4 linked regions of the Neurospora crassa OR74A genome follow. The protein of the gene in region 1 binds, or shares a complex with, the protein of each later gene. Links are inferred from orthologs where the notes say so. Each region holds a gene or a part of one and is shown in the gene's direction. Other genes may lie near its edges. The genes, in order: arp-4, NCU00444, hat-4 and NCU06491.

Region 1 (4,124 bases):
ACGAGCACCTCGCGCCCCCACCGCCCGTCTCGCAACATACCTTCGCCCCTCCCTTCTACGGTCGCCCACCGACCCCTCTCCCACCCTCCCCCTCTTTAACCTCCCTGCTGCGCCCCTCGCGTCCCACTACCCCGGACGCCTCCGACGACGAGACAGTAGCCAACGGCGGCGGTGGGGGTCCAGAGGGCAGCAACGAGCCCCTCCCGCGCGCCAGCCCCCGCGTACCCACGTACGAGTACTACGGCTTCGTCCTCTACCTCTTCAGCAGCCTGTCGTTTTTGATCTACCTACTGTGGGCCTACCTGCCTTCACCGTTCCTGCATGCGTTGGGCATCTACTACTACCCCAACCGGTGGTGGTCGCTGGCCATTCCGAGTTTCCTGACAATGACGCTGGTGTACATCTACGTGGCGCTGGCGGCTTACAATACCGAGTACCTCACACTGCCGTTGGGATCGATTGAGACGATTGTGGATGAGGCGGCGCAGGTGGCGGTGGTGGATGGGAAGGGCCAAATCATTAGGCATGATAAGAAATGTGGCATCAAGGAGGAGAAGAGACAGTATGGGCATGGCTATGGACATGGGAGGCATGGGTCGACGGATAGGGAGGTGCTCTTACCTGGGGGAGGATTGAATTGGAGGGAGGTCTGGAATGAAGGGACGGATGCGGTGATGGATGTGCCACTGGCGGGAGTTTGTGAGGTTTTGTATGGAGAGGGGAGGGAGAAAGGGGTGGAGAGTGAGGAGGATGAGGAGGACTATGAAGGAAAGGGGATGTTGCATAGTCCTGGGAATGGACTGGATGGCTCGAGAGTTGGTCGATGGAGTTAACACAGGTTATGAAGGTCCTGAGACAGGATAGACACCTGATCTCTGCTGTATTGTTGTTTTGTCCATTGTGAAATATGATACCCATTTGTTCTTTTTGGGGGTGGCATAATGCTCTGGGTGAATCCGTTGTCGGTATCGTATACAGCTGAGAGTTCTACTTCCCATGGATGTCGTAACTTTGACTTCTAGGACTTCTAGCGAGTTCGTGGGCTCTGGATCAGCAACGACAGGCCAGCGACAATCTTTGAGGAGTTTAACCAAAGCTAACTGCTCATGTGCGTCTTACTTCTCTTCAAGCTTAAAAGACCTATCAACAAGTTAACAGAGCTCTTGACAGGTTCGTTGGATTGCTATTTCCATTTTCTGTCCCTGATGCCCTATTACCGTAGAGGTACGTACCGCGCCCCACTTTTATGTAGCTGGAGGAGAGCCTGTCCGGCCTTTTACTGGTATTCACGCGCGCGCGCCCCTCGTCTTTGAAGCTCCGTTGTCAAATTCCATTTGATTTCCAGTTCATCGAACTTCAACGGAACGCGACGGGACCGAGCTATTAGACGCGCAGCGCTGTTTGGAGATCCCCGCTCACACCACTTCTTGCCCTCCGATAATACACCTCAGCGATTTTCCATTATACAGCGTCGGTGCCTAACATGTCCCACCAACAACCTCTCTCGTCGTCGGTCCAGCCGACTGACATCTATGGCGGAGGTAAGCCTAGTCCAAACGCCTCTGACCAGCGACATTGCCCAAGCTTCAAGGCTTGCAATTGACGGCTGATTATTTCCTTAGATGAGGTATCCGCGCTTGTTCTCGATCCGGGCTACTGCAACACTCGCGCCGGCTATGCTGGCGAGGAAATGCCCAAGCAAGTTCTCCCTTCTTTTTACGGCCACATCAATGGGCGTGACGTATTCGGCGACGAGTATATCGTGCCAAAACCGGGCTTCGAAGTGCGCAACTACATGAACCGCGACAGCGTTGTCGAAGATTGGGATGCTGCCACCAGGATGTGGGAACATGTTCTCGTCAAGCGTTTGCAGCCCGAGCGATCAACACCTCCCAGCAAAAAGGGTATCAACATTAGTGACGATGGCGATGTGCCCATGGAAGACGATGGAAACAACAACGAGGATGCTACGGACGCGCTGGAGAAGCCACTGGCCGAGAACCCTCTTCTTATGACCGAAGCGCCGTGGAACTCGCCCAAGGCGCGCGAGAAGGCCATCGAAATCAGCATGGAGACTTGGGGCGTGCCCGCATTCTGGCTTAGCAAGACACCTGTGCTCGCAGCATTTGCGGCCGGAAAGGCCACGGCTCTGGTAATAGACGTGGGCGGTGCCAACACGAGTGTCACGGCCATCCACGACGGCATGGTCCTCAAGCGATCGATTCAAAGGTCTCCGGTGGGCGGTGTTTGGCTGAGCAGCCAGATCTGCAAGATGTGGGACGGTAGTGAGCCCAAGGTCGACGTTGTGCCGCGGTTCATGGTCGAGAGTAAGAAGCCCGTGGAGGCCGGTGCGCCTGCCGAAGCCAACCTGCGAAAGTTTAACTTCGACATCCACCCGTCCTTCCGCGCTTACGAGGAAGAGCGTGTTCTCACCGAGTTCAAGGAGTCTGTTGTCGAGGTGTGGCGTGGTCCCCAGCGGTTCACGACCCCCGGAAACGAAGATGCTGTCCGTACACAACCCGGCCGGGTCTTCGAGATGCCCGACGGCAGCAATCAGATGTGGCGTGAGCAGCGCTTCAAGGTGTCGGAGGGCATGTGGGACGAGACGGCTGCCTATAACAGCACTGACGAGGAAGGACGTGTTACTAAGGCTCAGACGATCCCGGCTCTCATCAAGGCGGCCCTCGAGGGTGTTGATGTTGATCTCCGCCCCAACATCCTCGGCAACGTTGTTGTCACGGGTAGTACAAGCTTGTTGAACGGTTTCAACGACCGTCTCAACCACGAGCTCGCGCAAATGTACCCCGGTGTGAAGATCAAGATCCATGCGGCGGGTTTGACGACCGAGAGACGCTTCGGTGCTTGGATCGGAGGAAGCATTCTCGCCAGTCTCGGAACCTTCCACCAAATGTGGATTTCGCGAAAGGAATATGATGAGAACGGCGCGGGCATTGTCGAGAAGCGCTGCAAGTAGGATTTCACTTTGTCAATTGCAGAAAAAGAAAGTTGTCGAGGCATGAAGTGGAAAACCCTCCCACGCCGCGCTATGGAAATGGCGGGAGGCTACAAAACATCGGATTCCAAGTCAGGCCACAATGGTTGATGCCTAAAGTGCTCACACATTCATGGAGTTTGTGTGGGGTGGAGTGTGGTGGTCATATAAGATGGGCATGATATTTTCTACGTCGCTAATTATCAGGCAGGTGTATGTTATGGTCGCACGATATGGCGCGGAGGCGTTCCGGAGAAATGGATTTTCAATGCTTTCAGCTTATGAAAGATACACGCCAACCATTGCCTGTATTGCCAGTTTTGACTTTAATCACGGCTAGATCCCAGAGCTTCAACTGTCTCCAAGTAGTTCATTCACCGTAAAGCTTCTACGTACAAAGTGTAATTTCTTCTAGACAATCCATAATCCTCTCATCAGTCCTACCTGTCAATGGGGCAGCTATACTCTCTCTTCGTTCCAAAACTAGCTCCTTTGGAAACCGCGCCCCCATGTTTCATCTCAAGAGCGTCCAGGCATGCTTGATGGTAGATGTGTCTGCAGGCCAGCACAACCAGAGGGCTAAGCTTCTGTTCCCGGTTTGCCACTATTGGCCCTTGCACGCCTTCATGTCCAGAAGTGTTTGCTTGCTGGTTCGGGTCGTTCATTGACTCCCCTTGCTGCTTCAATTGCGGGCTCACAGCCTTTCCCTTGCCCTTCCCCTTTCCATCTCCATTTGCATTTCCATTATACTTCTCCCCACCCTGGGGCCCGTCCGTTGCCGGCCACGCATGATCCTTGCCCTTCCCCCGTTCAGTAGTAGCACTCGCCGCCTTGTTTTTGCTCATGGTGAGTTGCTTCCTCGCCTGGCGTTGACTCTCCTCAGCAGCCTGGCGATCTTCCCACGCTTCGTAGACATTACCCGCCACACCAGGACCCCAAACTCGCCGGCCGCAGGCCTCGCAGGTGGAGCCTTTAGGACGCCAACCTCGCTGGCGGAGTTGGACGGCTTGGCTTACACTCACAAAAAGACTGCGTTCCAAAAGCCGGTTTGAGAGGCTAAGGATGGATTCTTCGTATGCGTATGCGGCGAAGATACTGGAGAGAACTGAACGGAGATCTGCAAGGTTAGGCG
Region 2 (4,064 bases), on another chromosome or scaffold:
TTCCGACCGCAGCTGGGTGTGGAACGCCGCTGCCGATGTTTCCGAGGGTGAGCCCGAGGCCGTCACCCTCGCGATCCGCTTTGCCAACTCCGACAACGCCAACGCTTTCAAGGATGCCTTTATCAAGGCCCAGAAGGACAACGAGGCTCTCTTCAAGGCTGCCGAGGAGGCCGCCGAGAAGAAGGAGGCTGAGGAGGATTCCGAGGACGAGAAGGCCGAGTAGATGTGTGGTCTAGTTTTGCATGAATTTGAAGTTGCTTTAGGGAAAGTTTTTCAACCACCCCGTTCTATTTTCCGTTTTGCTAGGTGTTAGAGGGGACGATGACATTACTACCTCCATGGGCTGGGCGATGGAATGAATGAAAGGACCGCTACAGAAGTTATGACGATGATGATTCCTAGGCTAGAGAGCTGGTACATGGGCAGCGTGTGCGAGAACAAAAGGTTGAAGTATCCGACATGAAAGCACTATTCAGGTGTGCGTTTGACGAGATTTCAATATACTGGTAACATACTGCGACGGCCCTTTTGCAACTATGGCTGGCAAGGAGGATGAGGATGGGGATTACTCTTAAGGGATCTAAATAACCTTTAGCTTAACCAACAGTTTTAGATAGAACAACTCACTACCCTTCACACCGATGCATTGCCTTTGGGGGTTTTTGATCAAGTTCTTGTACACACAACCTCGCCTCGTCATACCTGGCTGACGGCTTAGCACGATGGTCCACCAAAACATGAGACGAATCTGATGGACTGGCTAGCTGACGGAAACCTGAGCCTGTCTTGAAAGAAACACAAATACTGAATTCCGTTTGCCAAGTCGTCCGTGACGCGGTCTGGCGACGACCGTATAAAAAATCTGGTTGTTTTGCGGTTTTGGAGGTTTCTTCTCTTCTTGACTACCTTACGGCGAGCTGACGACGATCCTCTTCTTCGCCAGCGGTCTCTCACTACTCTTCTCCCGACGACGCAAAATCACATCTTGGAGCAATTTACTTCAAGATTTCAGGGTCTACTTCAGCATCACCGTCGTCTTTGACAACTTCTTTCCAAGACTTCTGCTTTCTCGATCATCGCGATATTTCGATTAGAGTGGTGATATCTTCGTTCACCTAGGTGAGCTCACCTTGCTTACATCCACGGTGAGGGGTAGAGGAATGCCGGCAAAGCGAGCTGACGCTCACTGCATCACAGCGCACCAGCCACAGCACGCACAGCGGTACCTCACTGAGTGCTAGCGACGGGACAATGGTCGACTTCAGCCATGGTTACGGTTTTGACTATGGCGGCGCCGCGACGCCTCCGTTCGCGAATGACGAAGGTATGTCCCGCTTGAACCAACTTCATCGGAGTGTACATATATTGCACAGTGACCCAAATTCCCAACCATCCAAGTCGCATCAGCACCATAACTCAGTAAAAACCTTCCCACATTGCCTTGCTTGAACACTCCCTTGAGCATTTTTCAACCCAAGGCCATCAGAGAGGAGACACGCTCTTAACCTTAGCCCCTCTTCACGATCACGATCGCGTTCCCATCCAACTTTTGCCTATCCCAATTTGTACGCTATACACCTTAGAGCTACGTTATCCCCATCATTATCCCTGGTTCCCAACCGCACGCCACGGCCCGCCGCGGTACCTTTACCCCTCCGTAACGGACGACCTTATTCTCTACCGCTACAAAGCCCAACTCTAGCAGCGCGACGGAATCTGCGACACACCAACACATACAACACACCAAACACTATAGAGCCCATTGCCAGACAGCCCAACGGATACAACAACGTCGTACATCCTCGAATCCTTGCTCTTCCTCAAGAGCCCGAACGCCACTGTCTTACTACTGTCCTGTACTCGAGACACCGACCGAACGCCGATTGTCAAAAGAGTGCTGTTCGAGTACTAGGACACGAGCAAGTGAAGAGAAGTACACAAAGCTAACCGCGGGAATCCATCCAATTTCTGGGAAGCAGAGGGCCTTGAGGATCGGTCGGACGTTCCCAGTAGTGCTAGTAAGAATACTCGAACCAAAGCTACTAGAAGGAATCCGAAGCGGGTTCCAGGCGCAAACAAGATGATCGTCGAGGTTAGTTTCCGGATTCCCAGTCCAGTGTGGTTGGTAGCTTGCGCAAACAGGGTGACCACTGTAGCGGCATACAGAACAGGTGCAGAGGCAGGGAAAGGAAAGGCCCTAGGAGGAGAACGTTCCGGGATAGCTGTTGTTCGGGAAATGGATTCGACGGCTAACGTGGGTTTATTTGTCTACAGCGCAAGATCAAGGTTGTCACAGAACAACACAATATCAACAAGCCGGCGGCACAGGAGGGCTACCCCATGAAGGAGTGGACGGTCGAGCTCTATATTCTCGACCAAGATGGCAAGGAGAGGCCCGCCAGGTGCTTCACGAAGGTGACCTACAACCTTCACCCTTCGTTCGCGAACCCTATCCAGAGTAAGTAGACACCGGAGCGGCCGCCGGTCACCTCTCCCCATCTCTGTTGTGTCTCGAGAGCCAGAGGTTGGCTAACGCGTCGCAAATTCAGCTTTCAACGATCCTCCCTTCAAATGCACCAACGAGGGCTGGGGTGAATTTGAGATGATCATCGATATGTACACCACCGAGAAAGGCGGCAAGATCTCGATCGCGCACGACCTGAACTTCCAGCAATCAGAGTACGAAAACATCCATACCGTCACCTTCCGTAACCCATCTCAGGCGCTCCAGCAGCTCCTGAGAGAGACGGGTCCCTTGCCCTCGGACGAGGAGCGCAAGCAGAAGAAGGCGGTGGACGGCGGTTCCAAGAAGAAGCGGCCCTACGACATCGAGCGTATGGCGGATGGCTTGACGAAGCTGGGCGAGGATGACCTCCTGCAGGTCATTCAGATGATCCACGATCACAAGGATGACAATACGTACATCCAGAACAACCTCGATGGTAAGTTTGCCCGCTAGGGAGTGTGGCCCCTGGAGGCAACACGAGCTGATGGCTGACTGGACATGTCTATAGCGGGCGAGTTCTCGGTGGATCTCTACACTCTTCCTGACAACCTCATGAAGATGCTCTGGGAGTTCTTGGTAAGTTGTTCTTCCCATTCTTTTGCCCCCTCAATCGGATCCTTCTGTAGCTAAATCGCTAATATTACCACAGGTCAAAGCCAACGTAGTCTCATAGTACGACTTCCTTGGTCCAAGTAACCTACAGTAGTCGATGGCCATCGATTTACGAAGTCATCAGGGACGGGAACATTCTTCCTTACTAGATCGCAGTGCGCACCATACCATACCCAGTACACCACCACCCTCTTTATTCACTATTATTGATCCCTTGACACTTCCATCCACATCAACATCAACCACCTTCACCATCATGCCATTGTAGCCTTAGGCTTCTTCGGCTCCTGCATTACCGTGGCGTTTATGGAGTTATGGTGGGATACGCAAAAAGCAAAAATTGAGAAAGATTCAAGAGCTTCTCTTGACAAAATTTGTGCTTGATTTGATCTTCCAGATTTCTTTCTTTGCGTGATATTCGATGGTCTAGGGTGTGTTCCGTTGAACCGTTTCCTTTCTGCCGGTGGGATCGTTGCCTTGATTGGTGGTGTCTGCTCGTGAGGACTGCTCTTCACTGGAAGGGAGTGGCATCGCTAATCAGTTTGTGCTTTGGGCGGACCTTGAACCTTATCATGTGCAAGGTTTGCCCCTCTAGGTAGGATCGTCATAGGGAAATTTGAGACTGTTTATTGGAAAGAAAGGTTCGGGAAAGGATGGGTAAGAGGTAGAAAGGAGGTATGTAATAGATCCCACGCCCATGGAATTCGGAAGGGAAAGAGAAGCGGTTATGTTGTAGGCGGTACCTAGTTCTCGATCACGGTCTCTCTACGTTGCTCGTCGTATGGCGGTATTAGAAGCAGAGAACATGCTGTATGGTTTAGTTTACACAGTTCAGGGTATGGAGCAGCAGTAACTGTCCGTTCGCCTTAGTCTCCGTGTCTCCTGTGCCTGGACTAGAGCGCTATAGATCTGCCAGCACCCTGCCAGATAGCCATCTTTTTCAGGC
Region 3 (4,141 bases), on another chromosome or scaffold:
GGAAATGCCTGATACATGCGTGCGCCAGTCGGTCACGAAAGCAGTGGGGCGAACGTACGAGTCGTAAATTTGGTGTCCGTGGAAGTCGACGATGGAGCATCGAGCGAGGACACTGGTGGCGCCCGAGGGACCGGTGCCGACCATTTCGCAGTCGATGGAGAGGTATTTGCCGAGCGTGTTGGACTTGGTTGCTTGCAGGATTAGTGCGAGGTCGGTGGTGGTGGAAGTGTCGAGTGTGAGACCGTTGGAGAGGGTGAGGGATGAGGGAAGGTCGGTTGGTAAGGGGAGGCCATTTTTGTTGCTTTTAGGGGAAGAAGAAGAATGGCCGGGGAGGGTGAGGCCTGCGTTGGGGATGGCGGGGGGGAGGGTGGAGAGGAGAGGGATGTGTGAAGAAGAAGAGGAAGAAGAGGTGCCGCGGAGGCCAAGGTTGTACGCTTCGGCGAGGGATTCAGAGGAGATGCCTTGTTCGTCGGCCCAGAGGTGGAGGGAGGGGAGGGTGCTGTTTGGGGAGGAGGAGGTGGTGGGCTTGGATTGGACGTTGCCGCCCATTTTTTCTTCTGTTGGTTTTTGGCTGCTGGGTTGAGACTGGGTTTGGGACTTTTGTCTTTTTGGCTTCTTGGAAGGGTTGGAGGCTTGTTGCTGTTGTTGACTCTCCTCGGCCTTGCGCTTGAGGGTTTCGGAGGAAATGGACTTTTTGGAAATGGCTTGCTTGAAAGCGGCTTCTTGGCTGATGGGAGCTGATTTGGTTGGTTGAGGGGCCTTGAGCTTTTCTTGCAACTTCTTCCAGTTGGAGGAGAGTTCCGGGGCCATGGTTGGTGACAGGAGGGTCTCCTGCCTTGGTGATTTTGATGGTGGTGGTGGTGATGGAGTGTTGAGTCAAGACAGACAAGTGAGGGTGTCACTGCCGATGAGGGATCACTTGTGGTATGTCCAATCACAAATTGGCGGCCGAGGTTATGTGGAGTCCAATTGGTGCTGAATTCTTATTTGGAATGAGAGAAAGTAAACAAAAGGTTGAGACAAACGGAAGATTTCCAGAAGGTGATAACTTTTTTGTATGAACGTGAAAGTGGATGTTGAATATGGGCCCCACTTTGGTGTTCACTTAAAAATTCAACTGGGGAAATCGGTTCCTGGACGATTGACAGGGTAGGCAAGCCATGCAGGGATCTGCCGCTGTGTCCCATTGCATCCCCGCTGAAATGACGGCCCAAACACGTGGGCTCGCCACTGAAGGACCCCTCCAAAACGTTCGGGAAGCGTCCACTGAAAGAGTCGCTGAACACTACAAAACACTTCAAGACTGACGTCGCGCGTCGCCCGTCAGATTGATCGCATTCAATCGCCCATCGTCCACAACCATCAAATCTTGTCGCAAACCATCGCAAGTTATCGACCGAATCATATACAGTTGGATCACACATAGCCGCCATCATGAGTCCCCCAGGTGGCGATGCCACTGTCGGCTCCGACGAGAAGCGACAGAAGGGCAAGGCGACGCCCGACACCATCAAGTATGTTTCCGTCCCATCATTGTCCACGGCACCCCCCATCGTCGTTGAAAAACCAGATACTAACACCACCAAACAGAATGGGATGTATTGCCATGGTGATGAAAGAAGGCCAATTACGACGAGCAGAGATCCTCAGTATCAAAGACACCAAGTCCGGCCGGCAATTCTACTGCAACTTTGACAACTTCAACAAGCGTCTCGACGAATGGGTGCCGGCCGCCAGAATCGATTTCGAGCAGGACGTCGAGTGGCCCAACCCGGACAAGGACAAGCAGAAGGACGCCAAGACCAAGAAAAACAACTCGACGGTATCCAAGAAGCAACCGTCCAAGAAGAACAACCAGAAAAAGGCCAGCAAGAGGGAGCAGTCAGTCGCATCGGACGGGCAGACACCACACCCATGGACCGAGTTTGTCGAAAGCCAGCCAGGGAAGAATAACAGGCAACGGGGGAAGACGGAAGATGGAACCGACGTCAACGCCAGTTTGGAGGTTGGTGGGGACAAGGGAGTCAAGAGGAAAGCCGACGAGATCGATATGGATGAGGACGAAATACCAGCCGCTAAGAAACAACGCCAGCCGTCTTTTTCCAGGGAACAAGAGATTGAAAAGTTGCGAACATCCGGCTCCATGACACAGAACCCTACCGAGATCTCGCGCATTCGGAATATCTCCAAGGTGGAATTCGGCCGCTACGTCCTCTTCCCGTGGTATTTCTCGCCCTACCCGCAGATCTTTGACCAAGAAGACTGCATCTACATCTGCGAGTTCTGTCTCTCGTACTACGGCGAGTTGAAATCCTTTGTGCGTCACCGACAAAAGTGCACTCTACACCACCCGCCCGGAAACGAAATCTACCGGGACGACTACGTCTCCTTTTTCGAAATCGACGGGCGACGTCAGCGCACCTGGTGTCGCAACCTCTGCTTGCTGTCCAAGATGTTTCTCGACCACAAAACCCTTTACTACGATGTCGACCCGTTTTTGTTCTACGTCATGACCACCCGCGACGACCGGGGGTGCCACATCATCGGGTACTTCTCCAAAGAAAAAGAGTCTACGGACGGCTACAACGTCGCCTGTATCTTGACCCTTCCGCAGTACCAACGCAAGGGATACGGTCGCCTGCTCATCCAATTCTCGTACGAACTGTCCAAAATCGAAGGCAAGCTCGGCTCGCCCGAGAAGCCCCTGTCCGATCTGGGTCTGCTGTCATATAGACAGTATTGGTCCGAGAACATCATCGATATCTTGCTCGGGTACAACGAGCGAAAGGAAGCTTGCACGATTGAGAACATTGCTGTTGCCCTGGCCATGACGACACAGGATGTGGAACATACGTTGCAGGCGCTCAAGATGCAGGTGTACCACAAGGGCGAGCACAAGATTGTGGTACCGGAGAAGCTGATCAAGCAGAGGGAGAAGAGCAAAGCGAAGCAAAAGAGGCTGATTGATCCCGAGAGGATCCAGTGGAAGCCACCGGTGTTCACGGCGCTTAATCGGACATGGGGGTGGTAGTTGCTCTCGCTCAGCAAATATTGAATGATACACCAAGACGACACACTCGTGACACCACCACACGGATTCATGACCCAATTAAAAGAAAACGAAACCATCAGCATTACGCCAACAAAAGAAGATCAATTCCTGAATCGATCAGATACTGGAAACCTTGCAGTAGTGTATGCAAACAGAATGGTCATTAACATGGCCGCAAAGTGCACTTGACCTTTGTTGGATTTTTACAATGGTTTCGTTGATTTATTGGGTCATGGATACAATAGGTGGTATGTCGTCTTGGTGGATCATTCAATATTTGGGGAGCGAGCGCTCTTACTGCTGGGATGTCTGTGTTATTCTCGTTGTAATAGTCATGAGAACAAGATTGCATGGGTAGCAAGCGGGTTGGTTAGTATGATATGGCGTTGGTTTTTGTTTTGGACGGGCACTTGGGGAAATGGCTTACAGGAGGGGGGGAAAAAGGAACACCATATGTATCACTATTACGGCCAAAAGCACCAGAATGGTTTGTCATTTCTTTACGAGTGATTAGGAATATAATTACCAGGATAGAGAAGCAGAGCCTAGTCATAATCTCTACTCATGATCAGCGAAAAAGCCTGTTTGCTACAGCACAAAATCTTGACGAAAGTTTAGCTCAAGATTCCCGACTTTACTATTGAGAGCATGGCTGCTTTGGACGTCATCAAACGTGGGTGTATTCCCCGATCTTACAGACCGCTTTCGCAGATTTGAAGCTTGTGACTGGTTATACCGGCTAGTCGTCGGAGATCTCCCGGGCCGCATTCGGTAGTGAGACCTCCAGACGTCACCTCATCCATTGCTTGTGTTCCGTCAGCCCCGTCCAGCCCCACACCTCCGGCCGGCCGGCCCCGCAACCTAGATTCCCCGCAATACGACATCATTCACGACGGCGATCACGACGGACAAATGGGTTAGGCTGAGATAAACTGAATGGTTTCACCACGGCATTTGAGATTCACTCGCTGCCAGGTTAATAACAAAGCTATGGTCCCAAAACCACCACCAACCTTATCTAGGTTCCACTCATCTCACCAACAACTCAACATTCCAACGTCTTCATCACTCCAAGTTAACATCAACACA
Region 4 (3,830 bases), on another chromosome or scaffold:
ATAACGCACAACGTCCGCAAAATATCATGCCGCCGCCTGTACACCCTGTGATGCTCCCGGGCCGGCCGCCTTCTTCAAAGCCTCCAACCTCGCCAGCTCCTCCTGCTTCATCCTCTCCTGGATCCTGACTCTCTCCGGGACAATCTGTTCTCTTGGCCTGGTAATCTTCCAGCCTTCCAGGCGGTCTTTTCCAAGAGCCCGCAACGTCACCTGCTCGACGAGTGAATAGTTGCCGTCCTCCCTATCAAAGTTGAACGGCTGCTTCAGCGCTACTGGCGGGTTGGTAATGATGCGGACGTTCCTCTTCGCGTTGCTGGAGGCCGAGTGCAGCATCAGCGGATGAAGTAAGTACACGTCTCCGACCTTGCCTGTTGCCTCGACAAACTGGGTGCAACCCTTGGCCGTGTTGTTGAACCAGTTGAGATGCTGCTCTTGCTTGAACTCGGCATCGCTGCGGGGTGCCATACGTGGCGAGACACCCTCGGGATGCTCGTACAGGTGTTTGGCGAGGATAGGGATTGCCTCCGGACAGATCATGGTCCCGCCGCCCTCGGGCATGATATCGGTGAAGAGAGGAATGACGAGCAGGCCCTGCTCCGGGCTGTCAAGGTAGTGGACGAAGAAGTCACCATCGACGTGCCAATTGTCCAGCTTTTGCGGGGGGACTGGTTTCCCTTCTTTCTGTGGTGTGCCCAGGTTGACGATAAGGGAGTCCTTCCACTTCTTCGACCAGTTCGCGATCTTATCCTCGCCGCCGCAAAGCTCGCTGATGGCTGCCCAGGCACGAGGGGCAAAGTCTGCAGCGTCGAACTCCATATGTGAGGGCATGTTGACACGTTCTTTGTTCCAGGTGGACTTGTCGTTTGGATCCATTCCTAGTCTCGTCCAAACATTGGCGATGATTTCCTGTGCTCTCTGCTGCGTGAAGGCAGCCGGGATCCTGGCATGGTCAGTACCTCGAACGAGGTTGAACAGCTGGTATGGTGGCATGACACCTACTTGACCCAGCCATGAGTGAGGAAGTGTTCCTTCTCTTCAAGACTCAGAGCAGATGACGACGACATGTTCAGTGTGATGTTGCCTTTGGGACACATCCTGTAGAAAGTAGCGTAAAGAACAAGGCTATAGACTGGAACGGGGCCGACAAGCTATCTCTACCCTTATATACTCTTTTCAAGATCCCGCCAGAAACTAACCCAGGCTAATCAATCCGACTGTCACGACAACTCCGGACTCCGAATGGAATGCCGCCTCACACTGCGCCACGAGGCAGCTAGGTAATCCATCCTTGCTCCGTAGGCGCCCTAGGCTACGTGTAACCGGCGGGGTGGTTTTTGGTTTAACCAGAAATACCCTATTGGATATCGCCAGGTTTATTGGAGAGTACGGCATCACCAGTTTTCCATTTTCGTGATAGCGGCCTTTCTGAACCTGAACATCATGTCCCAGTGGTGTGGTTGACAACATCCCGTCGTCAGGGGCAGATCCAGCTTGTCATCGGATGATAGTAACGGAACTCTAAAAAGGTTCCCGGTTGCGGGGCGTTTTCAGCGGGACATCAAGGAAGGTGTGGGCGTGATGCGGGGGAGCTTGAGCCGAACAGCGGCGACATGACGGCAAGCTGCCCTATTGGCTGCTAACAGAGCGTTTGTGTTTCCACTGTCACGCTGCAGTCGATCGGACAAAGACATGGATCCCGTCCTTGTTCCCTTCATCACTTTTCCACTTTAATATTCCGGCCCACGATACTTGGAAGAGGTACCATTCTTGGAACGACGACACACACGGCAACGAGAATTTTACGCGAATAGCTTGAGGAAGACCAGACTGTTATATTCGCGAGATACCAAGATGGCGCCAACACTAGAGCTTCTTGCAGAAGACTACGCGTCAGAGGAAGACTCCGACTTCGCCCCAGAAACTGCCGAAGCCGCGGGAGAATCATCAATATCCGACGATGACGACGAAGAAGCCGGTGAAGATGCCGAGAAAGCGAAACCCGAGAAGAGGAAACGCGCTGCCATCGAGGAGGCGGAAGACGCTGGTTATGACAATTCTGGAGATGAAGCTATAATAAAGAAGGGGGAGAAACGTCAAAAGAAAACAAAGACAAAACTTGCTGCCGACGATGAGGAAACTGGCGAGGGCGGTCTCATCAAGACGCGCAGCCAACGCGCTGTTGAGTATGTTCTCACATCAACCCTCTTCTCTTTGGGTCCTGGGCATTAACGACAATGGCAGAAAGGAGAAACGTTCAACAGCCGCCGCCAGCGGACCTGTTACAATCGACGTCGATGCCCTTTGGGCGCAAATGATCAGCGAGCCGGTCATACCACGAACAAGTACAGCGAAACCAGACGAAAGCGCCGATCCAGCGAACTGTGACATCGCGAAATCGTCATCCCAGCAGCCAGAAACAGCCAAGGCGAAAGATCCCGATTCCGACCTCATAAAGATCAAGAGAACCTACAACTTCGCCGGCAAAGTCCACACTGAAGAAAAGCTCGTTGCCCGCGATTCTGCCGAAGCAAAACTCTATCTCGCCTCTCTCGGAGAGAACGCTCCAGCGGACGGCGAAACAGCCGCCGAGGACGAGTCCTCCTCTGCCAAGCGCATGCCCCGAAAAGCTTTCCGGTCCGTCTTCGAGCCCATCACCGACGCCAACTCGGCGCATCGTTCCGACCTCAACCTGAGCATGGCCTCCCGCCTGCAGGCTCGCGAAGCCACGGGCAACAAGGCCAAGAAGCTCAACACGGTCGAGAAGAGCAAGATGGACTGGGCGGTGGCGGTCGACAAGATGGGCCTCAAAGACGAGCTCGAGCTGGCCGGCAAGTCCAAGGACTCGTTTGCGGCGAGGCAGGATTTCTTGGCCAGGAGCGAGATGCGCAGGGAGGAGGAGGCGAGGAGGGCGAGGATGGCGCAGGCGGGGAAGACGTGAGCGTGTCACGATCTCCAGTCAATCCATTGGTCGCTTGCCTATTATTGTTGTATGGATGGCGTCTCCCTTACCACTACAAGTTTGGAAGGACAGCACTATGCAACACCATTTCATTTCTTACGTTCGCCAAATAGAGATACCCCAGTTTTCAATATCGGAACTTTCCAACGCGTTGAAGACACCAAGCAAAACACGACTTGCATGAACTCAGGGTCACAGTCACATATCAATTCCTTGCAATTCCTGGTCACATTGCAAAGGAACATGCATTTCTCATCCAGAAATCATTTGGCAAGTTGTACCCATGCACCACGCTGTCTGACTCATGATCCCAACTTCTCAATGCAGTTATCATCAACCAATCATCAACTGGCGTGGTGGCGGAGTGGTCTAACGCGCAAGACTAGAAATCTTGTTCCTTCGGGAGCGTCTGTTCGAATCAGGCCCACGTCGAAGTGATTTTTTTTTCCAATTTCTTTTTTTTTTTTTGGACGATTTTATTGTTGAATGGCTCCATAACACCAGTCTGGGGTACCTAGCCACTGGCAGTGGATGCCGACGACAACGCTTTTTGGTCCTTTGTTCACAATGATTTCCCAATGTATCTTGGGAGCTTATTCGATTATTTGGGGGGTTGGTTTCCGCTGATTCAGTACTAGATCAACGACCTCTCCTCCAAGTTGAGAATGTCTAGAAACTCAACAACGGAAGATTATCTACGTCTGACTTCCTGTCTTCAACAGGTAGTTCAACCATCCAAGGTTGTTGGGTACCTCTACCTATGTACACACGCCTTAAAAGCCCTTTTGAGATCTGAAAATAACCTTGAAGGTAGACTTGCTTGAGAGGTTCTACCTTACCCCCCTTCTTACCGACCAGTAGTCGAAGCTGA

Evidence for each region.
Region 2: arp-4 (region 1) and NCU00444 share a complex: the UniProt entries of both Saccharomyces cerevisiae proteins name them as parts of the chromatin-remodeling INO80 complex. The link is inferred for Neurospora crassa OR74A from reciprocal best matches to the Saccharomyces cerevisiae genes ARP4 and TAF14.
Region 3: arp-4 (region 1) and hat-4 share a complex: the UniProt entries of both Saccharomyces cerevisiae proteins name them as parts of the nuA4 histone acetyltransferase complex. The link is inferred for Neurospora crassa OR74A from reciprocal best matches to the Saccharomyces cerevisiae genes ARP4 and ESA1.
Region 4: arp-4 (region 1) and NCU06491 share a complex: the UniProt entries of both Saccharomyces cerevisiae proteins name them as parts of the SWR1 chromatin remodeling complex. The link is inferred for Neurospora crassa OR74A from reciprocal best matches to the Saccharomyces cerevisiae genes ARP4 and SWC5.

The regions. Positions count from the first base shown.
Region 1 is NC_026501.1:2,713,522-2,717,645, reverse strand, and holds the start of arp-4 (actin), read left to right. Parts: upstream 1-1,314; 5' UTR 1,315-1,483; coding exon 1,484-1,541; intron 1,542-1,622; coding exon 1,623-2,974; 3' UTR 2,975-3,432; coding exon of another isoform or gene 3,433-4,124. Other genes in the region: NCU16367 (hypothetical protein), read left to right, coding at 1-833; NCU02554 (golgi complex component), read right to left, coding at 3,433-4,124. UniProt on the Saccharomyces cerevisiae protein: Chromatin interaction component of the NuA4 histone acetyltransferase complex which is involved in transcriptional activation of selected genes principally by acetylation of nucleosomal histone H4 and H2A. The NuA4 complex is also involved in DNA repair.
Region 2 is NC_026503.1:3,880,341-3,884,404, forward strand, and holds the start of NCU00444 (transcription initiation factor TFIID subunit 14), read left to right. Parts: upstream 1-1,249; 5' UTR 1,250-2,080; coding exon 2,081-2,092; intron 2,093-2,274; coding exon 2,275-2,458; intron 2,459-2,549; coding exon 2,550-2,942; intron 2,943-3,014; coding exon 3,015-3,082; intron 3,083-3,155; coding exon 3,156-3,179; 3' UTR 3,180-4,064. Other genes in the region: NCU00443 (ran-specific GTPase-activating protein 1), read left to right, coding at 1-223. UniProt on the Saccharomyces cerevisiae protein: Functions as a component of the DNA-binding general transcription factor complex TFIID, the RNA polymerase II associated general transcription factor complex TFIIF, and the chromatin-remodeling complex SWI/SNF.
Region 3 is NC_026504.1:5,717,149-5,721,289, reverse strand, and holds hat-4 (histone acetyltransferase esa-1), read left to right. Parts: upstream 1-1,291; 5' UTR 1,292-1,434; coding exon 1,435-1,514; intron 1,515-1,590; coding exon 1,591-3,031; 3' UTR 3,032-3,644; downstream 3,645-4,141. Other genes in the region: NCU05217 (RNA exonuclease 4), read right to left, coding at 1-810; NCU11146 (aminotransferase), read left to right, coding at 3,989-4,141. UniProt on the Saccharomyces cerevisiae protein: Catalytic component of the NuA4 histone acetyltransferase (HAT), a multiprotein complex involved in epigenetic transcriptional activation of selected genes principally by acetylation of nucleosomal histones H4, H3, H2B, H2A and H2A variant H2A.Z.
Region 4 is NC_026503.1:1,608,137-1,611,966, forward strand, and holds NCU06491 (SWR1-complex protein 5), read left to right. Parts: upstream 1-1,431; 5' UTR 1,432-1,851; coding exon 1,852-2,183; intron 2,184-2,241; coding exon 2,242-2,938; 3' UTR 2,939-3,299; downstream 3,300-3,830. Other genes in the region: NCU06490 (hypothetical protein), read right to left, coding at 25-940, 1,000-1,094. UniProt on the Saccharomyces cerevisiae protein: Component of the SWR1 complex which mediates the ATP-dependent exchange of histone H2A for the H2A variant HZT1 leading to transcriptional regulation of selected genes by chromatin remodeling. Involved in chromosome stability.